Notamacropus eugenii: one gene and its partners. The protein of the gene in region 4 interacts with the protein of the main gene of each other region in a biochemical or structural test. Links are inferred from orthologs where the notes say so. Each region holds a gene or a part of one and is shown on either strand. Other genes may lie near its edges.

What was found.
Region 1: the proteins of ERBB3 (region 4) and HCK form a complex in vitro, tested with the Homo sapiens proteins (2 studies listed by BioGRID and IntAct, with this or other methods). The link is inferred for Notamacropus eugenii from reciprocal best matches to the Homo sapiens genes ERBB3 and HCK.
Region 2: the proteins of ERBB3 (region 4) and PTK6 form a complex in vitro, tested with the Homo sapiens proteins (2 studies listed by BioGRID and IntAct, with this or other methods). The link is inferred for Notamacropus eugenii from reciprocal best matches to the Homo sapiens genes ERBB3 and PTK6.
Region 3: the proteins of ERBB3 (region 4) and FER form a complex in vitro, tested with the Homo sapiens proteins (2 studies listed by BioGRID and IntAct, with this or other methods). The link is inferred for Notamacropus eugenii from reciprocal best matches to the Homo sapiens genes ERBB3 and FER.

Annotation. Positions count from the first base shown.
Region 1 is NC_092872.1:431,189,192-431,196,684, reverse strand, and holds the start of HCK (tyrosine-protein kinase HCK), read left to right. Parts: upstream 1-4,476; 5' UTR 4,477-5,032; intron 5,033-7,493. Other genes in the region: CCM2L (cerebral cavernous malformations 2 protein-like), read left to right, coding at 1,594-1,723, 2,397-2,535, 3,661-3,974. UniProt on the Homo sapiens protein: Non-receptor tyrosine-protein kinase found in hematopoietic cells that transmits signals from cell surface receptors and plays an important role in the regulation of innate immune responses, including neutrophil, monocyte, macrophage and mast cell functions, phagocytosis, cell survival and proliferation, cell adhesion and migration.
Region 2 is NC_092872.1:497,212,954-497,220,822, forward strand, and holds the start of PTK6 (protein-tyrosine kinase 6), read left to right. Parts: upstream 1-4,850; 5' UTR 4,851-5,057; coding exon 5,058-5,293; intron 5,294-7,869. UniProt on the Homo sapiens protein: Non-receptor tyrosine-protein kinase implicated in the regulation of a variety of signaling pathways that control the differentiation and maintenance of normal epithelia, as well as tumor growth.
Region 3 is NC_092874.1:352,619,497-352,626,698, forward strand, and holds the start of FER (tyrosine-protein kinase Fer), read right to left. Parts: upstream 3,005-7,202; 5' UTR 2,890-3,004; intron 1-2,889. UniProt on the Homo sapiens protein: Tyrosine-protein kinase that acts downstream of cell surface receptors for growth factors and plays a role in the regulation of the actin cytoskeleton, microtubule assembly, lamellipodia formation, cell adhesion, cell migration and chemotaxis.
Region 4 is NC_092874.1:231,337,024-231,344,143, forward strand, and holds the start of ERBB3 (receptor tyrosine-protein kinase erbB-3), read left to right. Parts: upstream 1-4,116; 5' UTR 4,117-4,468; coding exon 4,469-4,550; intron 4,551-7,120. UniProt on the Homo sapiens protein: Tyrosine-protein kinase that plays an essential role as cell surface receptor for neuregulins.

The DNA of each region.
Region 1 (7,493 bases), on a different chromosome or scaffold from region 4:
TGAGGCCTAGGGAGAGGAAGAAACTTACTCAAAGCTACACATGTCACAGGATCACAGGCCTGAGAGCTTAAAGGGACCTTATCAGTTGCAGTAAATAGAAGAGCTAGGAGAGACTCTAATAACTGCAATAAATAAAAGAGCTGAGAGAAACTTTATCAATCATCTTGTAACAGAAGAGCTGGCATTTGGGTCCAAATATTTCCATCACTTTTCACTATACCACAAAGCAAGTACAAGGTAACACGGGGTCATCTCACAAATTAGCCACACCAATCAACAAGCGTCACATCATTTTAAGGAAAAGTGTTGGGACACACAGTTCTTTTGCCCTCAAGAATAGGGTCCTTTCTGCTACATTTGAGCTTTCTTCAATAAGTGGATTTTTTTAACCCTGTATATAATTGAGAAATTATATTAAGTGCCCTTGGTAGATGTGACATGCTTATGATTTCTCTGCGTGTCTAAAACTGATACCCTGATCCTAGGTTAAAGATGAGATTTCCCCTAGGGAACAGCCAGCAGCATATGTTGTAGTCCAAGATTCTTCCCAGGTCTCATTCTCTGATCCTATGATCACTCCAATGACTAAATCCTCCCCCTGCCCCAACCCTAGCACCATTCAATTATGTTTATCAGAGATTTATTGAATCACCTGTCATCAACAAAGTCACTGTTACCCTCAGTCAGGGCTGTGCTGGTCAATGTTTAACAAATGGGTTCTCAGGGGAAAAAAAATTATATGCACACACTTCTAAGTTTAATCTGCATTTTTAACACTTTCTTAAGTTTAGACAATTGATAAAACAGTAAACCAAGCCTTGATTTGTAGCATTTGCACATTTCTTAGGTATAAATTACCTACACTGAAAATTTAGCCCTGGCTCTGGGCTCCAGTATGTACCTTTCATCAACCCTTCACAACCATCCTCGTTTGTGCTTTTGTGTGTGTGTGTGTGTGTGTGTGTGTGTGTGTGTGTGTGTGTGTGTGTGATAGCATGTGCTTAGGTAAGGGGGGACAAGGAAGAGAAGGGGAGGTGTGGCTCAGTCTGAAAGCCCGGGATGGAGCCACAAAGCTAAACATCTTCCTCAGGTAATTGGGATTTCATTTATGAAACATTCCATATTTATTAAATACCTACAGTGTGAAGGGCCCTAGGTGAGGAAGCAAAGTTGAGTTAAGGCGCATGCTATTTATTCCTGACCCGGTAGAGCTCACAGTCTATGTTGGATATCTGATACTTCTGTTCCAGGACAGTCCTCCAGAATTCTAGTGCCTTCTCTTTGCTGATTATTTTCAGTCTATCATGTACATAACATGTTCACATATAGTTACTTGAATGTTGTCTCCCTCAGTAGACTGTGAGTTCCTTGAGAGCATGGGCTATCTTTTGCCTCTCTTTGTATCCCCAGCACAGTACCTGGGACATAGCAGGTGCTTATCAAATGCTTATTGACAGACTGACTAAGGTGGCAGACCCTAGGAAACTACACACTGGCCTGAAGAGACCTCGGCTGAGGGGAGGATTAAGAGGGGGTGGTCAAGCAGGCTCAGTGCAGTGACTCAGGGCATCTATCTCTATCCATGCCTTCCAGTAATGGCTCCCATGACACCTTCGAAGCCTATTATAGTGGGACATCCACACCCTCCTTCCAGGGATCTCACTGCAGTGAAAGTGATGGCAGCAGTCTGGGTTTGGAACAGCTGCAGGACTACATGGTGACGGTAAGGCTTAGGCAAGGTCAGTGCCACTTTTCCAAGCTCTGGAGATTACCCCAGCTCTCCTGCCCTCTTTCCTGAGCCTCTATATCTTTTTGCACTCTGTGGAAGCCTCACTCACAGCATTCCTTATCCCCACCCCTATCCTCCCACATCCATTCATGTCCCTGTCTACTTCACCTATCTTTCTCCTTCCACATACTCACATCCAGTGGTGCCCAATGAAACCTCTGCCTCTTTCCCTCATGTGCCCATGGGAGCTCCCACCTCCCCCTTTCCTTCCCTGGGAGTCTACATACTCCCCTATCTCGTGGGACCCCTGCTCACCTGCCACCTCTATTCCCATGCTCAGATCTCTCAGTGTAGTCCTCTGATAGCACAGAGGGCAGAGATATGTGTCCCTGTACTTGAGTTCTGTCCTAGGTCTCCATCCTCTCCCTGATTCTCTAGGAAGCAAACAGAGAGGGGATATATGGGACTGTGTTCCCCAAAACACTTCTGAGTAATAGAGCACTGAGATTGCAAGCCATCTCCCTTTCCACTTTGCCCCCTGAATTGCCTACAGTCTCACCCCCAGCAGTCATACTAGCCATACTTTGCCAAATTCTGTGGAACATGGGCCCCGCCATAGGTCTATCCTCTCTTTTGCCTAGTCCCACCTTCTGGCTCCTCCCCACAGTTGCGAAACAAGCTGTCACCACCTGAGATCCAGCAATTTGCCCTGCTGCTGAGGGAATACAGGCTGGGGCTATCTGTGCAAGAGTACTGTGGACATCTTCTTCGGCTCTATGGGGACAAGAGGAAGTTTCTTCTCTTGGGTGAGCATGCTGTAACCTGTCCTCCCATTTCAAGAATCAGCCCTGGACCCTGCCTCTATCATTATTGTCCCCTTCCCCATTAACAGTCACCATCATGTGGCACAGTGGAAAGAATGCTGGATTTGGACCACAAGGAACTGGGTTCACATGCTAGATCTGCCATATACTACCTGTATAATATTAGACAAGTCACTTCATTCTGGATCTTAGTTTTGTCCTCTTTAAAATGAAAGGGTTGGATTTGGTGATCCATAAATGCTCTATAGGGTCTTGCCCAATTATCACTATGACTACCTCTGCCCCCATTATCTCCCCCCATCATCACAATCCCTGTGATAATGGTCATCACTATCACCACCTACTATTTCCACCCCCATTATACCAGTATCATCACCACCATCACCCCAATATCTATCCCCAGTACCTTTCCCTCACCACCCAATTCATCAAAAATTTATTGAACTCTCTAGATATTAACACCATTACCACCATCCACCCTTCACAACCATCCTAATGACCACTAGCATCACCACCATAAGAAAAGCATTCCTATGTTTCATTCAACAATCCTATTGATTAAGAACCCTATGCAGAGCACTGAGAGAGATAAGACTGAGGATGTGGTACCTGTCCTTTTAGAGCTTCCTCTAATGACTTCATAAACATGCTAAAAGCATGTTTACCTGTGGGACCTTGCTAGGCAATGCCCAGGAAACAGTACATGAGAAGGCTTGGCAGTGTATCCCGTTAAGTCCATTTCGACTCAGTGTCTGATATATCTTCTGAGAGATGAGAAAAGCATTGGATTGGAGTCCGAGAACCTGGGTTCAAATTTGGACTCTGCTATTTACTACTGACCCCTACCATTTACTAGTGATACTCTTTGGGTGACGGTTTCCTTATTTATAAAATGAAAGAGTAGACTAAATGCCTGAGGTCCCTTCCCGCTCTCAATCTATGACCCTATAATTCCCAGCCACTCCCTCTATTACAGAACTACATGGGGCTGAGGATACCAGTCCTGCTAATTCAGAGGCTCAGACTGGGGCTTCCCTTTGGCTGGGAAATATAGGGCAGGAGACAGTGGGGATGACAGAGCAGCCACCTGCCTCTTGGCCCCTACAGGGATGCGGCCCTTTATTCCGGACCAGGACATCGGCTACTTTGAAGGCTTCCTGGAGGGTGTGGGAATCCGAGAGGGCGGCATACTCACTGACAGCTTTGGCCGGATCAAGCGAAGTATGAGCTCCACGTCGGCCTCTGCTGTGCGCAGTTATGACAGTCGAGCTCCCCACCCAGAGGCCGAGGCCTTCAATCGAATTCTCACTGGCATCACCCATGACATCGAGGCCTTGGCACAGGAGGGAGAGGAAGAGGACAGTGGGGATGAGGAGGAGGGCCCAGGTAGAGCTGAGGAAGGAGAGGACAACTACCTGTGAGAGCCCTACGCCCCAACAACATGTATTGGGGGTTGTATAGAGGGCATAGATGGTATAGCTACGACAAAAGTGTTTGTGTCTGAGATGTGGGTAAAGAGACCTGGGAGATTTTCACTAGGTCAGGTTTGATGTGGTATAATGCAAAGACCATTAGATTTTAAGTCAGAGGGGCTTGATTTGAATTTACTACATAGTAACCTTGGGCAAGTAACCTAAACCCTCTGGGACTCATTTTTTTCATTTGTGAAATGGGGGATTTGGACTAGATGAAGGGTTCTTACCAGGGGTTCATGGAGAGGGTCCATGAATAAATTTCAGAGGGATCCATGAACTTGGATGGGAAAAGAAATTATATATTTATTTTTATTAACCTTTAGTTTCCTTGGTAATCCTATGCATTTTGTTTTCTGTGTTTAAAAGCACTATTCAGAAAAGGGGTCCATGAGTTTCAGTGGACTGCCAAGGGGTCCAACAAACACAAAATGGTTGCATCTCTGTGACAGATGGTCTCTAAGGTGCTATTGATCTCTAAATATTGTGATCTATATACTCAATGAAGGCAGATGCTCAACTGAAAGCATTTAAAAATGTTCCCAGAGCCTGAAGTAGGGGTTGGGAGGGTAGTGAGGGAATGGGGACCTCAATAGAAGAGATAGGGACTAATTTCAGAGGTGGAGGAGGCAAATAACTCAGGGGACTCCTGATTCCAGCCCTGACAAGGGAGCAAGAACATTGTGGCTGGCCCCTGCCCTGGCTATGGCAAACTAGTCAGCTCCCCAGCTCTTTCCCAGTTGAGGGCTATGGTGCCTCTGCAGTACTAAGTTCTGCCATCAGGGGGGTTGTGGGTTTGGTTTTTGGTCACTCATGATTTTTTTAGAGGAACTACTTCACGTGGGTTCTCAGCAATCCAGGCCCATACTGTCCCTTTGGTGGAGGGCAGGGGGTGGAGTGGGAGGTGGGGCTCCTTAAGCAAACCCTCTTAGTTCCGAGTTTGCATTAGCTTTGGTGCAGCTGTAAAAGACGGATGGTACCATCTTGGCAGACTGGATAAGAACAAGGTAGGGACTACTAGGGGGAACACTGGATCTGGTTAGACTGACTAGGGTCCAGGACAACCCTCTATCCCTCCCAGTAGGAAGATGAACTATGGAAAACCTATAGGACTTGAAAGGATCCATTATTTCGTCAATGTAGGTATTCTTTCCCTTGATACAGACTCCGATTCTTTTAAACCTTTGAATCTGGGTTCAGGAGTTGCTGTGGTCCAAAGAACCATCCTCTGGTGGCTGGTCTTCAGATAATGAAAATTCTCTGAGTTTAGCAAGATTGAACAACAGAGGCATCTTAGGGTCCCAGAGACCTTCCAAATTTCCAGAAACTACCAGAGCTTATATTCTTGGTGCTCGGGGTCTCCTTGGGGCCAAAGAAGGCCCTAAAGGAGAAAATCCATAGAAGATAGAGAATAACCTGATCTTAATAAAAACTAAAACCCTTTGACCCAGAAATACCACTTTTTAAAAGGGCTGTGTCCCCAAGAGATCATAAAAGTCCCACATGTACAAAAATATTTATAGCAGCTCTTTTTGTGGTGGCCAAGAACTGCAAATCGAGGGGATGCCCATCAAATGGGGAATGGCTAAAGAAGTTGTGGTATATGAATGCAATGGAATACTAGTGTGGCAAACAGAATGACTTCAGAAAAGCCTGGAAAGATTTATATGAACTGATGCTGAGTTAAATGAGCAGAACCAGGAGAATCCTGTACACAGTAACAGCCGCAGTGAGCGAGGACTGTTTCTGGTAGACTTAGCCCTTCACAGCAATGCAAGGACCTAAAACATCCCCAAAGGACTCTTGAGGCAAAATGCTATCCACTTCCAGAGAAAGAAGTATGGAACTAGAACTCAGAATGAAGCTCTTTTCTCTTGTGTTATGTTTTCATTTGGTTTGGTTTTTCTCATGATTTTTCCCATTCGTTTTCATTCTTCTATACAACATAAATAATGTGAAAATGTGTTTAAGAATGTGTAGAATTCATATAAAATTGCATTCTGTCTCAGGGAGGGAGAGGGGAAGAGAGGGGGAGAAAATTTAAAACTGATGGAAGTGATTGTTGAAAACTGAAAACTAATTATGTTTAAAAAAACTAAAAGGCCTATTCACTCATCATCTCTTGAATGAATGTTTACATATGATTTCCATTTAGGATCCCAAAGTGAAATTCAATGACAATAATGGAATATGGACTGGGAAGGATGTTCAGGATGATCTAATCAACCCCATCATTTTACAGAGGAGGAAACTGAGGCCCAGAGAGATTAATGGAAAGAACTCTGGACTGGAGGTTCTATTCCTAGCTTTCCCATTATTTCACTGCCTCACTTTTGGGAAATTATTTTCTTTTTCTAGTTCTCAGTTTCCCCATATATAAAATGCAGGGGTTGGGATAAATGATCTCCAGAATCCCTTTGAACTTTGACAGTCCATGCTTTAGGGTTCTTTCCAGCTCTGATATGCTATGTTCTATGTTCTAAGATTATGTTCAACCCTGATATTTTATATTCTAAGGTCCCCCTAGCTCTGACATTCTTTAGCTTTCTGTCTTCTTGTGGGGGTGGAAGGAGAAGTCTGGGTCTTTCTATCTCACCCAGATTGGAAGTACAGTCTACACTCATGGGCCCAATTGGCAAGAGAGCTTTGACCGGCTGTAGTTTTAACCTGGACTAGTTTGCCCTTCTTAGGCAGCCTAGTAAAACCCCCCCTCCAGTAACCCTTCCCCTTTACCACATTAATACCAAACCTGTTATAGAAACTGGCTTGGTTTTTTAGCCCTAATGTAGCTTTGAATTCCTAAACTCAACCCCTACTGAAGTTCAGAATTATCATGCTCAAGCAATCCACCTCCCTAGGAGGTACCATGGGTATAACCCCCATCCAGGAACTTTCTAAGTCTTTACTGACTAGTTATTGTGTACTTGGTCCAGTGTTCAGTTCCTTGAAGGAGGGGAGCAAGAGAAGAAGCAAACAAGGTCTTTGATCACAAGGAGCTCATAGTCCAGTTAGGAAGATTCACATATCAAAAACAGAATTAGGACAAGGCAGAATTAAATGTTAGACTTAATGTAATGGAGGGTCCAAGTTGGCAAAAGATAGCAAATGCTCTGGACCTTAGGAAAGGGAGGGGGTCACTATGGCACAGTTAGGAAAGGCTTCCTACAATAGGTGGAACTTGTGAGGGGTAGGATTTTGACAGAGAAAGAACAGTGGGGAAAACAATAGAGATGTACAAGGGGGAGCCAGAACAAATGAAGGCATAGAAGTAGTAATCAATTAATTAGTGAGCATTGATTAAACAATGGTTCTAAATCAAGAACTATGCTAGGCCCTGGAGATACAAAGCAAAAACCAAATGTTTTTTGCCCTTAGGGTCCCTACATTCTATGGGACCTAGTGTGTTCAGGGCATAGTGAGGGGGTCCTACGAAGACACAGCTGGGAGCTGCTTATAGGGGAGGAGAAG
Region 2 (7,869 bases), on a different chromosome or scaffold from region 4:
TGGCCTAGGAAGACCTGGGTTCAAATCTTGTCTCTTACCTCTTCTATGTGGTCCTGGACAAACCACTCTTGTGGCTATGGAAATGGAGACAGTCCAAATAAGTTGAGGAAGTTGAGACTGGATTAGTGTGTCTCAGAGGATTAGCCCTCACCTTTTGGGGAGTTGAATGTCTAAACTCCATTTTCAAGTCGTCCTCACATTGGCTCCTTCCATCCTTTCCAACATTTTTTTGTGTGTCTACAATCTTATTTGAACCATAATTTTAGTCCAGGGGTGGGAAACCTGCTTCCTCAAGGCCCCATGTGGCGCTTTAGGTCCTCAAGTGAGCCTTTTGACTGAGTCCAAGTTTTACAGAACAAATCTACACTTGAGGACCTAGAGGGCCACATGTGGCCTCGAAGTAGCAGGTTCCCCACCCCTTCAGTCTAGTTGGATTTGTCACCATCCCCCCACATTGAGATCCTTGCCAGAATTTTCCTTCTTCTCTTGTGTTATGAACTGAAGTTTGGAATGCAGTCTTTGAATGCCACCTAGCGTCTCTATGGGAGATGAACCAACACCAAATTAATGGAAGAAGTATGTCCAATCCAGACATAAACCCAGGCAGGGTTTATTTGAACAATAAAAATAATGTAATTCAATAAGCATTTTTTACCTGTCTGTTATGTATAAAGCACTGTGCTGGATGTGGAGGACATGCACAATTTAGTCAAGACATGGTTGCTGTTCTCATGGAGTTTGTAGTCTAGAAGAAGGAAAAGATCCCAATAATGAACTTATATCATAAAAGAAGACAGAAAACTCTGTCTTGGGAACCATTATTTCCCCTTTCCAGTGAATTTTAGCCACTTTGGGGGAATAATAATTTTATTTCTAATAATAATTTCCTTCCAGTTGAATATAAACTCTCTGAAGACAGGGACTGTTTCATTTTTTTGTCTACTTGTCCTCCAAATGTGTCTTGTACATTCCCAGGGCTGCTCTTTTGCTCTTTGTCTTGTTTTGAGTTCTCTCTCTTTTTTAAAATTATAAACTTAATAATCAAAATCAAATAAAGCATTTTCATAAGGGAAAAACAAGAAAATGAGATTGCGTATGAAATTGAAGACTTTTGTTACATGTAGTTTGTTTTTTAAAAATATATATACATATGGTATTAGAGGAAAAAAGAACAAAGTAAAAAGTACACAGCAGAGAACATAAGAAAACAAACAAGGAAGAAAATAAAAGACGGACAGTTCTAAATATAATGCATAGTATGTATTCTACAGACTTTCTTGAAATGGAAATTTATTGCTATATATTTTGAATCCTCTCTTACATTCTGCTGTGCACATGACATGTTTTTTTTCTTATTTTGTATTTGTTTCAATATGTAATTTGTTTCTTTCTCTTTTCTTATTGTATATTTAAGTTTCAGTAATACAAAAATTAAAATTTAACAAGGTAGTTACAAAATCACAGTTTGCATTCCCTTCTGAACTTCTTTTTGTTTTCTTTTACGTATTTTGAAATGTTTTATTGATGATACTTCTGTGTTAACTCTCACTCAGGCCAAACTTGTCTACTTATCTCCCAAATGTGCCTTGTATATTCCCAGGTTTGCTCTTTTCCTTATCTGGAAGGTTCTGCTCTAAAAAAATGATCATAACCAATGTCTAGGAGCTAGTTCCTGGGAACTAGTTTCTTGAGAATATCGATATTCAAGAGCTATAAACAGATATAGGGAACAAAGGATTGGACGTGAGATTTCAAGCCAGAGAAGATGTTTATTTTCTCATAGGAGTTAAGCTAGGAAGGAAGGAAGGAAAGAAGGAAGGAAGGAAAGAGGGAGGGAAAGAGGCAAACAAACTTTACAAATATTATCTTGCTAAGTCTTCAAAACTACCCTGGGAGGTAGGTTCTATTATGATTCACATTTTACAATTGAGGAAATTGAGGCAGACAGAGGTTAAGTGATTTTCCTAAGGTTGTAAAACCAGTAAGTGCCTGAGTTTAGAGTATGTGACACACTTACTGAAGGAAACTTTATCTTTCCCTTCCATGATTTTAAAAGCAACTGAAGCACAGGTTGTGTATTTCTCTTTCTGAGTTCATGAATTAGAGGAATGCTGATACTTAATTTATAGAAGAGAAGACTCAGGGGGAACGTTAGCCATTGTCAAGCATTTGAAGGGCTGTCATGTGAAACAGGGATTAGACTTGTTCTCTTTGGTCCCAGAACAACGACTGAAGGATGTAAGGAGGCAGATTTAGGCTTGAGATCAGGAAAAGCTTCCTAGCAATTGCAGTTATCCCAAAGTGGAAGAGGCTCTCTGAAGAAATGGTGTTCCCACTCCTTGCACGTCTTCGAGCAGAGGCTGAATAGCACTTTATAGCACATAATGGGGATTCTTTTTATGTATGGTTTGAACTTAATGTCTGTTGAGTCCCCTTCCATCTCTCAAATTCTGGGATTCTATGCATTTTCCTTCTGGGTCAAAGGAAATTGGTGAGGAGGTAAGAATTTTAATGGGAAATTGGACAAAAGTTATATTTGGAGATTTTCCCAGATCTCTGAGTAAGGGAAAAGTAGCCAATTTGTGATAAATAAGTTAAGTATTTATAAAATATTGCATGAGAATTATTTTACGTTTTAAGTACTAGATGAATCAAGAGCAACCTGTGCCAAAATATTAGGAGGTAGGGCTCCTGGGCATCTATGCCCAACTATTTGCTTTTCCTCCTCTTCTGCCCAGAGATGGGGTAAGTGCTTTAGTATGGGGGATGCCCCCTAAAGGTATAGTTAACTGTATCAGCTGAGAGACCCTTTTCATGGGGGTGAGGGGTGGGGCAGTGTATGTATGTTAATTTCATCTACATGTTGGGCTTCTACTTATTCAACCATGTTGCCCCCAACTTTCAATGTCATCCACAGTGATAGACTTGAAAGACTTTGTGATGTAGGTTCCATTCCCTTGGCCTATTGGAAATTTAGTAATTTAGTTAAAAAAGCAAAGGAGGTTAGCCTGAAATAAAACAATCTTGATGTATTCATACTGACCCTTACTTAGTCAATGACTCAATCAACCGATGAGCATTTATTAAGTGCCTGCTGTGAGCCATTGTGTCAGTCATTGTGTTAGTCTCTGAGGATATGAAAATGAAAGTCGCAGTCCTCCAAGAACTTACATTCTATAAATGGGGATATAACATGTGCAAATATAGACATCTGCAAAATATATACACAAGAAACACGAGGACTTTTCTGAGGGGGGAATCAGGAAAGCTTTAATATAAAAAGTGGTGCTTGAGCTGAGTCTTAGAGGCAACTTGGGATTGTAAGAGACAGGTATGAGGCAGAAGTACATTCCAGTCATGGGGGACAGCCATTGCCAAGGCACAGAGATGAGAGATGGAATGCTGAGTATGAGGAATAGTAAGAAATCCAGTTTGACTGCATTGTAAAGTATATGAATGGGAGTAACATATTATGGGGCTAAAAAGAAAGATTGGGACCAGGTTGTGAAGTGCTTCAAATACCAGACTGGGGAGTTTATATTTGATCTGAAAGGTAATAGGGAATCATTGGAGTTTATTGAGTAGATGAATGACATAGTCAGATCCATATTTTAGGAAAAGTCACTTTGGCAGTTTTATGAATGAGAGAATTGAAGTGGGGAAAGAATAATCACTTCTCTTCTTAAATTCTCACAAGCTATACGTGTTAATAAGGTTCTCAAATTGTGAAGAATCATAGGACCTGGCAATGGAAAGGGCCTGAGGCAGCTAGGTGGCACAGTGGATAGCACCTGCCCTGGAGTCAGGAGGACTTGAGTTTAAATGTAACCTTGGATATTTACTAGCTATGTGATCCTGAGTCAGTCACTTAACCCCAGGTTGCCTTCTCTCAACCCCTCAGGAAGGGACCACTGAGATCATGAAGTCTAGCCCCCTTACTTTAAATGTGGAAACAAAGACCAGAAGAGGAGAAATGACCTTCCTAAAGTCAAAGAAATATTTCATGATAGTGTTTCAGAGCTGGAAAAATCCATTTTGTTTTTCTGATTTTTTGTAGTGAAGTGAAAGCCTGAAATCTGTTATTAATAACCAAAAGGTTGTATGGAAGGAGGGAAGGTGACTGGACTGAACATTAGCAGGAAGAGTAGATATGTATCTTTTTCCCGAGAAAGAGAGCAAGATTTGGATGGCAGCTGTGGGAGTGAGAGAAGGTAGGTTGATCAGATCGTGAGTGCTGACTCTACTGTCTTTTGATTCATCATCTACCTTCTCCTGGTCAGGTTTTGCTGAAGCTTCAGAGATGACTTAATATGAATCACTGAAAATGACTGCCCTCCCAGTGCCACCCTCCATGGTGCCTGGAGAGGAGCAGCTTAAGGAGGAATGCAATAAGTTCGTTGCTTTGAGGTTGCTGTCCTCTGAAGTGACATACCCAGACATCCAATTCCTTTTGTTCCTCTCTCTACCTTAACCTCTCATTTACCCCTTTCCCTATTGCCTTATTGATTGGTCCCTCATTTGCCTGTTCATTTTCTCAATCCCTTGCTTCCTTGTCTTCCTTCTCCATCCCTGGTCTTGCCCCCTAATCATTTAGAAGTGACTTTAGACCAAAAAGAGAAGAAAAACAATAATCTGGAGATGGAGATGTCCCTTTCAGGTCGACTTATGCATAAGGTAGTGAGGTCAGGGAGTGGTGTGAGTGAGTGTGGGGGGCTGTTGAATCCTGGTTCAGAGCTGATATGTTCTCCAGGGACCTTAATGACAAGGCAATAATCTAATTGGGGTTCCGCTGTCGTCATACATCAGCAGGGGAGTGGCTCACAGGGCAGGTTGCCACTGAAGTCAGAATAAAGGGGTGCAGCTTTTGTGGGAAGAGCCCCGCAGGTTGGTGGCAATCACTCCAAGTTGAGTTGTTCTGTCAGGGTGAGGTCCAGAGATCAGCTGGGCCAGCTCTCTGTTGTCAAAATATTTAAAGTTCCCAGGAGATGAGAAATGTGTTCTGAGTGACATCTTCCTGAGAGAAAGAAAGATTCCAGAATCCTGAAGCTCCTCTCAACATGGATTTAAGAAATCTTTCACATTTGGGTCCCAAATACCTGTATGTTAGCCTCTGGGACTTTGAGGCACGGACAGAGGATGAATTGAGCTTTAAGGCTGGGGACCTTTTTCATGTAATAGAGAAGAAGGAAGATTGGTGGAGAGCCACAAAGCTTGATGCAGCTGGAAGGAGCCTAGGAGAAGGCTATGTCCCTCACAATTACTTAGCTGAACAAGAGACAATGGAGACAGAACCGTAAGTAAGAGGCAACCAAGGGAAGGAGTCTGGGCTCGTCATCCCTTGGAACGTTACATTTGTTGCTTGTGGATGCCATTCTGGGAAGTAACTTCCCACGGGGCTCTTAGTTACTCCTTTAGCACTGGCAATGCGGCTTAGGATCATAAGATCATAGATGCAGTGCTTGAAAGGCCATTTTCTAGATGAGGAAACTGAATTTCAGGGAGGTCCAAGGTCACACAGGCAGCAAACATCAGAGGAAGGATTTGAACGCAGACTTAATTCTAGAGTTAGTGCTCAGTTCCTACAGCTACCAATCCCAGAGAAGAGGATTGGATCCCACTAAAAATCCTGGAACAACTTAAAGGAAAAGCCAGAAAAAACCTGAAAGTAGTTGTTGTAGTGACCTATGGGACCTTTCTTGGCATGTAGGGAGGAGGAGTTTTTGAGAGTGGTGGGTTACCCCAAGTGGAAAAGAGTTCAGGCATCCCAGTGGTAGTTTGCTGTTCTTGGTTACTTTTTGCCACCCCAAGGAATTACTTTGCATATTGCTGCACCACACTTGGCATTACCGTCAGTACCTCAAAGAACTGTGATTTCACTAGTCTGCGTGCTCCCTTCACTAGTATAGATTATGGCTCCTCCATACCTCAGCAGACATCATAAACATTGGTAATGACCAAACAAATTCATTGAAGTTATCACTATAGTATCATTACTAAGTTGTCTGCAGCCCAAGCCTCTTGGGCATAATTTGGAATGAAGGTTTTAAAAAAAAAAAGCTTGAATATCTTTTTCACAAGAGGCAATGTGGTATACTAGATGCTGGATCTGGAACTAGGAAGAGCTGGGTTCAAATCCTACCTCTGATATTTACTAACTGTAACCCTGGACAAATCACTTAACTTCTCTGAACCCAAGACAAGACTCGTTGTTAAAGTTCTAAATTTCACAGTGCAAAGTAGGGGAAGGTCTGATTCTTTTAGGGCTTTGTCAGTTGCTTATAGTTTTGTATTTGGGGCTGGAAAAAAATGGAGGTATTAGCTTTGGGAATTCCTTGTTCAGAGAAGAATAGGTGGGTCACTAGCCCCACTTGATTGTCATTTAGCCAGGCTTCCTGGGGAAGGATAAGATAGGATCAGTGGGTATTACTTTCTGAGTGGGTGAATACAAGCAGCTTGAGGTAGAGAGAAATCCTATATCGGCTTCTCAAAATTCAGAGAAAAAAGGACATTGCCGGGACTCACTTTCAAAACAACCACAAACTGGAATCTCAACCTAGTTAGTGGGGAGAGAGAAAGAGTGTTGCAACACCTTCCAGCTCTGTAGGGCGGAGGAGCAGGGTGGAGAAAGCTGTGTTGCCAAACACAGACAGCTGTGCTGGTGGGTGTCCACTTCCAGATTTTCCCCTCCTACATGGCTTCTTCAGAACTTCTGACAGGCCAGTGCACCACTGGCAGTAACAAACTGATGAAGGATGCTAGCCCAGCCACGCTGCTGCCCTCAAGTATACCCAAATTAATTAGCGAATGAGAAGCTGGCCACCTGAGTTTGGTTTGTGTAATTTCATGGTTCGCAATCATGGTTTGGAGATAAGACCTTGGAACAAAATAAGTTTCCTCCCCTCTTTCCCATTCTCCTCTACTGCAGCCTCCACTGGTGAGTATACCCAAAGAACACCAATGATCTGAGTTATGAGTCCTTTACAACCCTCTTGGCATCATTTGTTTTCGCTAACATTTGAGCCAGCTGAACATTTGTGAAAGAAACTCACTTTGACAGTTTGAGAACGAAGCTCGAAGAGATTCTGTCGAATACCTTCCACTATCAGGGAATAGATGTTATCAGTAGGAAGTCAGAAGTTTCCATGAAACTGGCCTGGAGATAAGAGCTGAACAGCTGTACAGGTAGTACCATCCAGAGTCCAAGGAGGTAGGACAAGCAATTAAAAGGCTGGTGGGATGAATGTGCTGACACTGTGAAACCAAGGCAATATACGTTCCCTAGATCATGGTCCAAAATCATACTTTGGGGTTATTCCTGAGACTTGACCACTGGTGATCTATCTAAGGGGCTAGGAGCTAAGAAAGCAACACTCCCATAACCAGAGAGGATACATGTTGGTGTTCTCATTTCCCTACCTCCAGGTCCCAAACCCCATGTATCATGGGAACTTTTATGACATGTTACTTCTCCTTACCGTTCCTCTCACTGATTCTGTGCTAAAGATCTTCTCCCCACATACGCAATTTTTGATAATTTGTTCCTATAGTTCTTCAATTACTTCCCCTTGGAGTTCAATCTATACCAGGAGTTATATGGTTCTTGGGTAATTATTTAATATGCCTCCAGTTTTCCTTCCTTCCTCATTCTGCCTTAACGAAGCCTTGCTGTTTCAGCTTATATAGAAGGGGGTGGGTAGAAATCACTCCATGTTCCTGGGGCCAACTCAGGCCAGGGGCAGAACTAGGTGACTAGTGGTGAACAGTAAACACTTAAACACTGGTTAAATTAAATTGAATTTATGTTACAACCTCTCTAGACAGTCATTCCTGCTGCCCCTGCTACACTGTAAGTCACTAGGGTTGCTCCTG
Region 3 (7,202 bases), about 120 Mb from region 4:
AGTGATCACTCAGAGAAATCTGGCCTAACCATCCATACTAGACAGAGCAAATGGATGAATGCATGTCTATTGCCCAGATTTCATTATGCATTTAGATGACACCCTATAGAGTTGGTCTAACAGTAAGTATGTCTGAAACTCCAGGCACAAACTTGAACAAGAGAAAAAGAACAGGCTGGACTGCTTTTTGGAAACTGCAAAACTCTTTTACTGACACTAAGCTTTTCATGAAAGTAAAGGACCATCTTTTTAATACTACCATTTTACCAGTGTGGTTATAAGACCAGAAACAGCACTGGCTCTGAAAAATTAAAATGAATTTCACACAGAAGTCAATGAATATCATGAGTAGTTTGAGCATGCTGCAACATAAAACACAGAATTCCAAAACAAGAATAAATATGTCATCAAGAAATTGTAGAATAGGAAGACAGGTTGGTCACATGACAAAGGCAAGTTCAAAAGTGAGCTCCACTTATTCCCTGTGGCAAGTCTGACAGGCTATCAGCTTCAGTCTCATAATAGCTAGTGTTTATATAACACTTGAAGGTTTGCAAAGCATACTCAAATCAAAGAGATCACAAGTCCACTTAAGAATTTATCTCACAGTAACTAAATTCCAATAAATCTGGCTATTTCTCAAGAGTCCTAGATTGTAAATTGCAGTTCCTGGCAAACTCAAGGCTCTTCACCAATTGGGCCTTTAAAAAAATAAATCTTGAATGGTATCTCTATTATGCATTGACAAAACAATATCTAGAACTGCAATTTTATAGAGTGCTACTAAATGTATCAAGCCTCACAATAAGCATTATAGTGCCTCAGTAAAATCCACAGTAACGTGAGTGTTCTAGCTACATACACAAAGACAAACTGAACGGAAATTACAAGTTATCTAGTTTATAATGATCTAGATGGTTAGGTCATCAAATTAGTCCAAAAAGGGACTTTTCTTGAGTAGTTTATGTAAATGGGACATAAGATGGTCTTAGAATGGAGGGAAAGGCAGGGCTGAATCACATGTGGAAAACTGCATGTTTTCAAGTATCCTAAACTGTTCACTGATGCATGTCTGTCTCCTTCAAAATGATACAACATGAATGAGAAGAATCACAAAATATTCTTGAGTCAAAACAAGTAGCCAAAGGGTAATGGAAAAGATTAATAGTCTTAAGTGGGCTGTAATGTTATTACAGCTATAATCAACAACACTGGAAGTGGCACAGAAGACATCTCGAAGGAAATGTATGACCAGAAAAAGAGGTGGGCTAATCGTGTAGTAAGAATGAAGAATAACAAAATCCCAAGTACTGAAAATAGAGGATGGCTTTCAGCATATGGGTTTTATGGGAAAATATGGCTAAGAATCACAGGGCATAAGAAGATCAGGAAAAAACCTGCACTGATACAAGTATCTGCAGCAAAGTAATTAGACAACCAAAACTACTCATTCCAAGAATCCAAAAAGCCTTCATCACAATGCTTACCTCCTTATTAAAGAATAATGACTCATTCCAAATAACACAGCTGTCCAAAATAGCAATCTGTGGCAAAGTTAATTGGAATTTAACTTTCCCAACCATGTCTCCTTCCCGGTGAGACCAATGTTTCTATCTGGTGTAACAATAATAATGATCTGCCATTTCCACAGCTCTTGAAGTTTGCAGAAGCATCAGTTACCAAGTGTCTCAAGTGGATTTAGAGGAGGTCTCTACCCACTATAACACGTGCTGGGTCCAGATACTGTAGCGTCTTGCAGTGAAACTGATTTATATTTCAGCAACTTGCCTCTGGCCACGCCCACCACCTCAAGAGACTGGCCCAAGGCAGGTTACATCTATAAAATCCTGGTTTTTTGGAGGGGGAGGAGAGGGATAGGGAGAAAACTTTAAAGAACTAAATTCAATTGTAGAATATTAGTCGTCGCTCAAAATGTGTGTCAACTCTGCAATTTGTTGCTTCCTCTGAACTTACAAGATTGCCACTTTTTCACAATACAGAATGGAAAATGAAAACAAAAATATCTGTCAATATAAACAAATCACTACACACAGTGAGATCAACTATTCGTATCCCCCCCAAAAAATGAATTAAAATGCTTTACCCATGGAGTCCTACAGGTTTTAAGTAATGTCTCCCACCCCTACTAACACCTCTCAAACCCGAGGTCACTTCGTTCCCAAGGCAGACTGACTAAACGAAGGAGAAAAAACCTATTTGTCAGGAATTAAGCTAAGAATATCCAAAATAAGACCTCGTCCTTTTCATACCCTAGGGAAACTAAGGAAATGGGGGGAGTTCAACTACCACAACCCTCCAGGCCTCGGGGGGCCTCCTCCCACTGCCCCCACCCCACGCTGTGCCTCCTCCCACTGCCCCCACCCCGCGCTGTGCCCCCTCCATTAGCGCAGGCGAGGGGAGGGAGAGGCACCCACGCGGAGGAACTGGGAGAGGGTGGGGACCACACAGTCCTCCTCTGGAGACACCAGGCGACCCCCCGACCCAGCAGCCGGGGCAGGGCGGGGCGGGGGCGGAGCCATCTCCAGCCACCTCCCCTCCTCCCTTATCTCCCATCCCTAGGGGCCCCAGAGGGCCAGGCCCGTGCCTCCGACCTCGGGCGTCCAAGCTTGCGCCCCACCCTGCACCCAAGAAGCCCCCCAGCGAGCCGGGGGGAGGGTGGGCAACAGCCCCGGGGCTGGGAGGTGTGCGGGGCGGGAGGGGGGTGGAGAGGAGGAGGAAGAGGAGGAGCCCCCGCCAAGGCCGCCGCCTGGGCTGCCGAGCCCCGGGCGCCCCCCAGAGGGCGCGGGGTGTTGCCCCGGACGCGGGTTCGCCCTTCCCGCTCCCCCAGCGTTGCCCGGGGCGACGCCGGGCGCGCGGAAATGCACCTACCTAGAACCTGACAAGCAGGAGCCCCTCAGCCCCGGAGCCGTCAGTCACCACTTCGCGTCACGGGGGCCTCGCCAGCCAATGGGAGCCGCCGCCCCGACCCGCTTCGGCCAATCCCGTCGCGCTCCGGTCTCCGGGCTCCCTCGAGCCCGCGGCCAATGGGGGCCGGAGAAGGCGGGAAGCCCCGCCCCTCTCCCAGCCCCGGCCTCCGCCTCCGCTTCCCTGGAGGCGGGTGCGGCCGATTGGCCGAGGCCCGGGAGGGGCGGGCTATGGGCCTTGGTGGGCTCCGGAGAGAGCGGCCGGAGGACGTGGGTGGGGCGCCCCTGGGGAGGGCGAGGGAGCGTCCGCGGGAGGCGGGCCGGGCCGGGCCTGTGAAGGGCGGCTGAGGGCCTGCGAGCTCCCTGCCTCCAGCTCCGTCCTTCCCGGGCCCCCTTGGGAGCCGTGATGTGGAAGGGAGCCTCCCTTAAGGAGGAGCTTGAGGCCTGCGGAGGGGCAGTGACTTGGCCAGGGTCACTCGGTCAGAAGGGCCGAGCCCGGGCCTGACGTCTCCAGGATGGGGGTCCGGCCTGGCCGGGGAGGCTTGGGCGGAATGAAGAGCCGTCCGGCAAGTGGACGGAGGGCCCCCACGCCCACCCACGGTCACACGGGGCGGTCCCAGGATCCACCTTGGGAAGCAATTTAAAACTTTACGGAGAAGTTACTTCCGGGAAGTCTGCTTCCGGAGCACTTGAGGACGTCGTGGGGTCTGGGGTCCTTCCCACGGCCCCTCCACCCTCCCGGAGCTGGGGGAGAAGGAGCGGAACGAGGCCGCGGCTCAGCACGTGGGTGCAGGCCCGGCGTGCGAAGCCTCTTCTCCAGCCTCCCCGGAGAAAGGACCCCGAGCCGGGCACTTTGGACCCGAGGCCGCTGGGGAGGCTCCGACCGGGGCGCATTTAAACGGCCGAGAAACCTGAGCGAACGGGATCTCGGAGTCCACAGTCCTGGGAAGGAAGAAGGGATCCCCTCCTTGGTCATTGGCCTTAGCTCTCTGGACGAGTCTGACTGCCTGGCATCGCCGCCCCTGGCTCTGCCTGCTGCTGCCCCTTGGCACCCTCTCCTCTGAGCTCCGCACAGGCCATGTTTCCCACCCCCTCTTCCTTCTTCCCTCCACGCACTCAGTGCCTCACTCAGTCTGGCTTCTCTCCGTCTCCATCTTCAGCATTCGGACACCATCGGCCTTCCCCTGCGCAGTTGAAATAAGTCACACAATCATTCTGAATGAGTCCACTACACTTTTATACCGTCTCAACTAACCCCTCACTGCTGCTGGGCAGCCTGCCGCATCAACTTATTTCCCCCACTCTTGAAACCAGCTTTTCCAAACCTTTTTATCCCTCCTCAAATTCCTATGGCTCCCACTACCCCCTCTCCCCACCCTCAGCTAAGAACCTTGCCTCATATTTTACAGGAAAAAAATACGGCCCTTTGTTGGGAGCTCCTTCTTCTCCCTGCTCCTGATGTCCCTCAGGTGCCTTCCACCATTGTCTTCTCTTTCCCCTCGGTAGCCCTGGACAAGGTCAATCTTTCTCTCTACACAAGCAATCCCGCTGTCATCCCACTCTCACTTATGTTTAATCTTTGTATGTTGGCTTCTTCTGTACTGCCCATAAACGTATTCATGTCTCTCTCATCCTCAAAAAAATCTTCACTTGCTCCTTCCATCCTGCTGTCCCCTATCTCGCCTCCCTTTTGTGGTTAAACTCCTTGAGAAGGTCATTTGCCAAGTCCCTCTTTTTACTTTCTTAATTCTCTATAGTCTGTTTTCTGACCGTACCACTCCACCAACACTTTTCTTTCCAAAGTAGCCAATGACCTCCTAATTGCAAAATCCAATGGCCATTACTCAAGTCATGTTCTTGACCTCTCTGTAGATTTGACACGGTCAATCACCCTTTTCTCCTTGATCTTTCGTTCTCTCTAGATTTTTGTGACACCACTGTCTCTTGGTTCACCTTCATTTTTTTAACTTGTCTCTGCCCTTCGACTGTGAGCTCCTTGAGGTCTGGAGCTGTCTTTTACCTCTTTTTGTATCCAGAGCACTTAGCATGCTATCTGGCTTACCAAATGTTTAATGAGTGATTGACTGAATGACTTGCAGTTGGCCCAAGTTGTATTTGTAATGGACTGAAAAAGGGTATAAATAATTCTACTTGGTATAGATTGGCGGGGGAGGAGAGTGGCAAATTTGAACATTCTGTATGCTATACTTTATGTTAATAAAACCTTTGATTTGGGGAGTATAATGGCAAGTAAAGTTAGGATCTTTTGCTGTTTTTGTTTTAGTGTAATCAAATGCCTCATTGAGTCTTGCCTTTATGATCAAGAGTCTTTACTAGGAATAAAGTACAGAAACAAGTTTCTTTAACCATGTGTATATGTGTTGCATACCTGTGAAACATGGACAGTCTACCAGCACCATGCCAGGAAACTGAATTACTTCCATTTGAACTGTCTTGGAAGATTCTGAAGATCACCTGGCAGGAAAAGCCACTGAAAGACACTGAAGTCCTTGCTTGAGCTGAATTGTCAAGCATTCAAACTATGCTTCGAAAAGCGCACCTCCCATGGGCTGACCACATTGCTCAAATGCAAAATGAATGCTTGCCAAAAAGACTGTTTTATAGAGAACTCACATGGGGCAGGCAATCACATGGTGGTCAGAAAAAGCGATACAAGGATACTCTCAAGGTTTCTCTCAAGAACTTTGGAGTTGACTATACAACTTGGGAGACAGTGGCACAGGATCACTCAGCATGGTGTGCCCACATCAGAAAGGGTGCTGTCCTCTAGGAGCGAAGCAGAATTGAGACAGCACAAAGTAGATGTAGGATGCGCAAATTTGGGGTCACTACCCCAAATATTCCCCAGACTGTCTGTGCCCAACCTGTGGTAGAGCATTCCGAGCTCATATTGCTCTGCTCAGCCACAATTGGACACACTGAAATTTCACTTTTATCATTGTGATGTAATTTTGGTCCAGAAGGACAACAACCAAAGATCTTCCCCATCCATAAATGAGCCTACCTATTAAGGGGAGTTTGATTAGGGAAGATTTATAGGAACACCCACCGCTTTTGTTAATGAGGCACTGGCTCTCAAGGGTGGGTATGCCCTCTGGCTCTAAAAAAAAAGGTATAAATACTCTGAGGTTGAGGTTTTACTTTGGGGCTTAGTTTTTGGTAAAAAGGTTTAAGTGCCAGATGAGGACTCTGGGAAGCTGCTAAGGAACCCCCCTGCACCCCAGCTTTGAGAACACAGATGTGGTACTTCCCTCTCTGGTAACAATGGTCAGACAGCTGTAGCTGTCTGTTGAATTATGGTCACAGAGGAAGCCATGTCTGTTGATTATTTTGGGGCTTACTGACTGGAAATGTTTGTTTAGTCAGATGAGGACTCTGGGAAGTGGCTAAGGAGCCCCCCAGCTTTGAGAAACCAGATATCATGCTTCCTTCTCTGATAACTATGGTCAGACAGTTGTCTATTGAATTCAAGCAGAGGAAGCCATATCTGTTGATCTTTTGATTTCTCTCTATTTTCTTTGAAATTCAGGGTTCTGACTCCCCTGAACTAACTGAATGATATATGTACTTGGTTAAAGGCATGATACATGTGCCTGATTAAAGTGATTGTTAACCCCTTGAAAGTTGCTTTCTTTTTGTGAATATAGATCTAAAAATCTGTGAAAGCAGGCCCTCCTGGTATCACATATATATGCAGTGTGTATGTTGGGGTGCTTACTGATAGGGGAGGTGGGGAACTGTTTCTGGAAAATCTTTACTCTGTGTGTTTGTGTCAATAATAACTTATGTTTACACATGCATTAAAGTGCTTTAAAGTTTTCAAAGCCCTTATGTTTTGTCATTAGTACCTAAAACAACTCAGGAATTGTCTCTATTTACAGATGAGGAAAGAGTCTCAAAGAAGTTAAGATCATTCTGTAAGTATCAAAAGCAGTATTTGAACCAGGTCATTCTAGCTGCAGGTTGGGCACTTAGTACCTTAGGCTGCTATTTGTAGAAATGAAAATACTTCTTGATATAGTAAAGCTAACATAAAACAGGAATAAATTACAGCTGAGAACAGAGAGATTTTTTCAACAAGCGAAGCATTGTGGTACAGTGGAAAAATTGGACTGAGCTTCAGGAGATCTTGGTTCTAGTGCCAGTACTGTCACTAATTAGTTATATCCCCTTGGGCAAATCACTTTACCTCTCTGTCTCTCTTTAACTTCAAAATAACAGTAGAATAAAAGATTTGTTGTTTAGTCATTTCAGTCA
Region 4 (7,120 bases):
TCACTTCATTTCTTGATGTCTTGTGGAGTCTTTAGCTTCCATTTGGCCAGTTCTAATCTTTAAGGAGTTATTTTCTTCAGTGAGGTTTTGCAGCTCTTTTACCAAGCTGTTAATTCTCTTTTCATAATTTTCTTGCATTGTTCTGATTTTTATTCTCAATTTTTTTCTCCATTACTCCCATTTTATTTTTTAAAAAGTTTGTTTTTGCTTTTTAAAAAAAAAAATCACTTTTTTAAACTCTTCTAGGAATTCTTGATGGGCTTGTATACAATATGCATTTTTCTTCAAGACTTTGTTTGTCAATGTTTTCAAGTCATTTTCTTCTTCTATGTTTATGTTTTGAGTTCACCTATCACCAGTCATTTTTTTTTTTTGCAATCAAGTTATTATTTTTTTATTTGCTCATTTTTCCAGTCTACTTCTTGACTTTGGACTTTATGTTAGTATTGGGCTCTGCTTACCTCTGGGGTGGCAGGAGATGTCAAGTGTGAACTATCTTTTATGTCTTTCTACTGCTTTCACAGCTCAGTCTGGGGGCTCTATAAATTTTCAGTGATGTGATCCAAGAAGAAGTCTGGTCTATGCTCTGCAAATTTCTGACCTGGTTGGGATCTCTTGGCTTGCATGTGGTTGAGTTTCCACAGACTGCTGCCAGACCCAGTCATAGCTCCCTAGGAGGTTCTGCAGGTTCAGAATGACTGAACCACTGGCTCCCCTTTGGTTTTGGCCCTCTGCCTTGGTTTATTCCACTGCAGGCTTATGTGCAGAACTAAAGGCTAGAACTGAGTCCCCCAACTCTGCTGTTGGGCTCAGAGACATACAGCTATTTTTCTGAAACTTGTTCCTTGCTCCTTAAACTTTGCTACCTTACAGGTAAGACGCTTGCTCCCTTCTGACCATGAAGACTCCTCTCCTCCCTAGAAATGTTACCCCAAAATAAATAATGGGCAACATAGATGCTAAATGGCAACCATTCCTGCTCCCAAAGCTAGATCAAGGGTGCCCTAGGATCTCTTTCTGCCCAGGTATTCAGTCCCCTTACCATCCTACGGCACTGGGCTGCTTTCTGCCACTGCTACTGCCATGAACCACAATTACTTTTACCTGTTGCTCTATTAAGCTCCAGACCACCCTCCACCCCAGTGTCCGCAGACCTCTTTATCTTCCAAAGCTGCCATGGACTGAGAAAAAATTATTCATTGTGAAATTTTCTTGGCTTTCTCATTCAGAATTTAATCTGGCATGCTTTCTAGGTCATTGTGGAGGAGATGGTAGAGAAACTAAGGCAAAAAAAAATGCTATTTCTCACTTTGCCATCTTGACTCTACTTCTATTAACTCTTTTTCATTTAATACAAGAATTTTCAATTTATTTTTAAAATTCAATTTTCTGCTCCAAGTTCTCTCCCTGCCTCCACCCCTCCCCAATCCAGTGAAAAAGCAAGAAATATGATACCCATTGTATATGAAGTTACATTATGAATTATATATGAAGTCATCTAAAACATGTTTACATTCACCATGTTCCCTTCCCACCCACCCCCAAAAAGGCAAGGAAAATAAAGAAAGGAAAAAAGCATGCTTCAACTTGCACTCTAAGACCAAATCCTTTATCTAGAGGTGGAAAGCATTTTACATCATGACTCCTCTGAAACTGTGTTAGATCATTTGTATTAACCATAATTATTAAGTTGTACACTCAATTATCTTTAAAATATTGCTGTTTCTGTTAGATTGTTCTTTTGGTTGTGCTCACTTCGCTTTGCATCAGTTCATGTAAATCTTCACAGATTTTTCTGAAGACAACCCCTTCATTATTTCTTACAGCACAATAGTATTCCATCACATGTTCAGCCATTCCCTCAATTGATGGGCATGCCCACAGCTTCAAACTTTTTGCCACCACAAAATAAGCTACAATAAATATCTAGTTGAATTTGTGTTGTTGTTCAGACTTTCTTTGCAGATGTTTTGGAGTCATTCTCTTCTGGATTTGTGTCTTTAGGGTTCTTTGTCACTATGATAGCATTTTACAATGTTATCCTTTTTTTTTTTTTTTTTTTTTTGCTCATTCTCCCATATTACTTCCTGACTTTGGAGTTGATATTAGGGCTAGGCTCTGCTCTCTTCTGGAGGAAATGTCCGGGGTGTTGTTGCTTTCTTGGGGTGTTAAATTCTGTGTTATTCCAGGATGTCAGGAACAGCTTAGGCTTCTGATCTACAAAAGTTTACTGTTCCCAAAGTGATCTGTTTCAGGACAAAGTCTGATCACTGTTCCCTAATTTGAGCTGTGTAAATTTCTTACCTGGATTTGGAGCTGGGAAACCAGCTAAGAACGTCTGCTGGTTCAGAGTTGCTCTGATTATTCCTTTGCAGGATTCAGACTTTTAAAAGCTGGAACTGAGGCTCCACTTGCTCCTGGACTTGAGCCATACAGCTGTTACTTGCTTCTGAACGTAGTAGGCACTCAATACTTATTCCATCCATCCATCTAATGGTATTACTTTTTATGCTTTTTATGTTTTGTGTCTTATATCATTTGCTATGTTATATAATACATATTATTTATATTACATTGTGACCTAATATAACATGTTATATATATATATATATATATATATATATGTTTTTAGTTATTCTTAGTTTTTCCCTACATACAGTATTCTACCACCCACTTCCATGCCTTTGCATGGGGCTGTCCTTTATATCTGGAATGTCCTGCCTCACCTCTTTCCTTTCGAGACCCTTCAAAACTAAAGTGAACATTTAAGTGGCACAGGGGATAGAGCCCTAGGCTTGGAGTCAGGAAGACTTGAGTTCAGATCTGACCTCAAGACGCTTACCACTTGTGTGACCCTGAGCAAATCAATTAACCTCTGTTTACTTGTTTCCTCATCTGTAAAATGGAGATAATCATAGTACCTTCCTCATAGGGTTGTTGTGAGAATTAAATGAGATAGTAACTTTAAAGTACAGTGCCTGGCACATAGTGAGCACTATATAAATGTTGCTATTATTATAGGATTATTATTATTTTCTCCAAGAGTCCTTTCCTAATTTCTCCAATCACTGGCATCATTTCATAGTTGTATTCACTCATCTGGAGGGCAGAGACTGTATCTCTCTCCCTAGCTTCTAGCACATAGCCTAACACATAGTACAGACTTTAAAATGTTTGTTGACTGGCTGAGGTTTGGACTTCAGTTGGTAGGCAACAGGTCGACACTAAAGATTAGTAAACAAAAGAAGCGACTTTGTTTACAAGGAAAAGTGGCCAGAGGAGAAGTGGACTCAGGAAGTGCTGTTCAAATGGTTCAGGTGAGTAGGAACAAAGTCCTGTACTAGGGTGATGGCAGTAGTGATAGAGACCAACCAGTCTAACTTGTCTGGGGCCCCCTTATCCCCTCCCCCCACCAAAAAGAAGGCACTAAAGCTCTGGGACACTTGGGAGAATTCATAAAGGGATGGCGGAGAGGCAGCTGTCCTTTAGATCGGCCATGGGGGGCAGAAGAGGGGGGTAGGGGAGGGGCAGGCAGCAACAGGTGCATTGAGTCTTGGCCCCACCCTGGCCCGGGTGGGTCTGCCCCTCCCCTGCTTTCCCTTCCCTTTCTCAGAGTGGGAATGGAGAGGCGGGGCTTAGGGTCTGTTCCCAGACTGGTACCCCCTCCCCTCCTCAAATTCTCCTGGGAGACTGGGCAGGCGCCGGGTTCGGAGGGGGGAAGCATCCGGAGACAGTGCAATTTCACGGAGCCTCGGAGAGGCTAGGGATCCTGCGGACCAGAAGGCTCAGTCGTGGGGTCTCATTCCCAAGGGAGGCGGGGGAGGAGCAGGAGGCAGAAGCTGCTCCCTTCCCCCCCCATCTCAAGAGGGATAAAAACACCAAAGTGGACCAACCGGCCAGGGAAGTAGGAGGGTGGGATTTACATAATGGGCGGGACCAGCCTGGTTGAGAATCCCTTCTTTATCCACGGGGGTGTGCGTGGGGGCAAGTCTTAGGAATTTTCTGCTCCCCCTCTCCTCGGGGAAAGTGAGGGTGAGCCTCTCCGTCTCTCTGATTGGGCGGAGCAAGGGGGTTCCCACCGTCTGGCCAATGAACTCGGGGCCCGCGTAAGGCGGGGCGGGCGGTGCAGGGTAGCTCAGCACGAGCCGGGTGGAATCGGGCGAGATCGAACTTCAACCCTGCGAAAGTCGGAGGCGCTGCCAGCGCTGGCGGGTCCGGGAGCGGCCGTGACTCACCCCACTCCCCACACACGTACGCACCCCCCCTTCCCTCTCTCCCTCCGCCCCCCACCCCCTGCCCTCCCTCCCCGGTCCCTGCTCCAGCTCTAGATCCAGCACCACTTCGCGTTTGCTACCTGGACGGACTGCGCCTCCGCCTGCTCCCTTCCGGGCTCAGGTGCCTTTCTCAATCCCGATGTCTTAGCCTCGGAGCCCCGGCCCGGGCTCCCTACCCCCGGCACGCAGCAGCTATGAAGGGCTTCCTGGAGCTGCAGGTATTGGGCTGGCTCCTCCACCTGACCAGGGGCTCGGAGGTGGGCAGCTCGCAAGCAGGTAAGCGGGGGCTGCGGGACAGGGGAGGTTGGGTGCTGCCGGGAGCTCCAAGTGCAGGGAGGAGCCTGAGGAACCCGGGGGCTTGCGAGCCTCGGAAACAGAGGGGTCAGTGCCTGCAGCCCCTCTTCAGTACCCTCGGGGTGGCCCCGCTCTAAAGCGCTCGAAGCTTGAACTGGCTGGACGTCCCCCCAACCCTCCACTCCCGCCCGCCTTCTGAGGATCCTCCTGGGGAAGCGATTGCTTTCTCAGTTCCCCAATCTGGTGGAACCCAGGCATTCTGGGGGTCCCAATTTGTAGAGATGATGTATTGTGTTATATTTTCTCGAGAAGTGAATCAGAATTGGAGCCTAACTTCTTTTCCCAGTCCCGTCTCCCTGGTTCCCCCGGTTTCAGGCACCGCCAGTTTCGGTGTTTTGCCGGCTCTGGGAGGAGCTAGAATAGGATTTGGGGGGGGTGGAGGGGGCAGTTGTTCCCTTGTGTTAGAAAAATAGGTCCGGGCCCCTCCCCTTTCTTGCTTGTTTGTGTGAGTGCTGGTGCGGGTGGAGGTGGGGGCGGGCTGGGCAGAGATTAGCCAGAGGGCCAAGTCCAGGTGATAGTGATAAAGAACTTCAGAAAACCACTCCTGTCTGCTTCACCCCAAGCTACTCACGAAATCTAGACTTTAGCAAATCCGACCACTGTAAAACTTCTTGCTTGCGCTGGAGACGTGAAGGAAAAGGAGGCTTAGACAGTCTGTCTCCTCTTATAGACAGAACTTAAGGAGACAGTTCTGAAAGGATTGTTCCTCCCCCCCAACCCCTTTTCTTGGGTATCTTTGATCACAGAATGCTGGTGGGATTTAAGGGGATCAAAGAATTAGACATTTCTACTGCCATCTCTCTCAATTTGGGGCTTGGTGAATTTTGTGCCCCACTCACAGTAGGGGTGAAGGGAGTGGGAAAAACACCTGTGTTTCTCCACAGTTGCTGGGTCTAAATTTAGTCTCTGGGACCTTGAATTGTGAACACTCCCAGCTGGAAGAATTGAGGAGGAGTCTGGTATAAGGAAGGGGTAGTGGTTGCAGAAAAAGGATGACAGTAGCTACCTCTCCCTCAGACTGGGAATCTGAGAAGTTACCAGCAAGGAAACCAGGAGTTCTGGCCCCTGGATCTATTCCTGGGGGAGGAGAGAAGAAGGGGGGGGTTAGTTCTGGCCAGGCCTTTCTTTATCTGGATTTTCAGCCTCTGGGCATCCGGCCTCGTCTGGGTCTCTCTATGCTCCCTTTGTCCTAACGCTGGTCAGGGGTAGAGGAATGTTGGAGTTGAGGTTCACATTGAGGATCCCCAGGGGGAGTAGTAGGAGAGAACAGTCTCTTCCTTTTCCACAATACTGTCTTCCTAAGAGGGCCTTTGATTGATAACTTCTCCCCATGTTCCTGGATAATTTGGGGACTTGGATGATTCCAACCCACCACAAGTACCTACTTTCTCCCTAGAAATGACTGCACTACTGACTTCAGGCTCCTGGTCCTTCATTCCTGCTCTTTCCCACCCTCATCTACTGCCCTTTCCTCTCCCTTTTTTTATGTGAGGTGGATTTTATTTCTGTGGGTAGGAGACAATGACTTCTAATTCTCTGTCCCATCTCCCCAAGCACACAAGAATCCATAAACATATATGTTAATGTGATTGTCTTGTGGGGACTGTAAAAGATTTTGGGGGATGTCGTTTGACATAGTAGCCCAAGGCAATGTACCAGGGTACAAAAGCATTCCTGGAGTGGTTATGGCTGGTGGGGGGAGGCTTTGAGAAAAGAGGTAGAGCAGGGGCAAAGACATCATATATTCTCACTTATTTTTTTAAAAAAATCTGTGTCTTTCCTATGGGAGTGAGGAAATTCTCTACTGATGCAGCTCAAAAACTCTTATGCCATTTACAATCTTAAAGAGTTGTTAAGGTGACTTGTCCAGAGTCACCCAACCAGTCTGTCACAGGCTGGATTTGAACCTCTGCCTTACTCTGAGGCTAGCTCTCTAGACACTAACTTGTACTATTCTCAAAGACATATTCTCAAGAACATCTCTGCACACAGAAATACAAGTCTGATTCATAGGCATGGAGGAAGGCTCTGGTGAAGGGGTGTCCTTGTTAGCAAGAGGGGTAGAGGCACTTGGTTCTAACTTGCTGGTGTATGAGTCATCTCTCAGACAGAAGCAATGCCATTCTCAGCCTTCCTTCTTGTCCCTTCCAAAATGACAATGTTGATTCCTGGGTTCATGCTGAGCTCCATCCTTTCTCCCCTCCCCCTTCTCAGTAAAGGAATCCTGAACAGGAGAGTAGTGTGGGGAATCTTTCAAGGGATCAGGACTGGTATGGAACTAGCAAGAGGGGGTTCCTTGGCTTCCATTCCCCACATGCCTTCATGCCTGCTTCCTGATGAGCTGGCAGTGCCCCCAAGAAAGAGAAGTTGCAAACAGGTGCTCTCTCTGCTCCTGCCCCCAACTCCCAACATAGACTTTAACCCACTGGAAAAGGGAGGGGACCAGAGATCAAGGGGGCAGAGATACCTTGAATTGTTCATCATTTCCTACA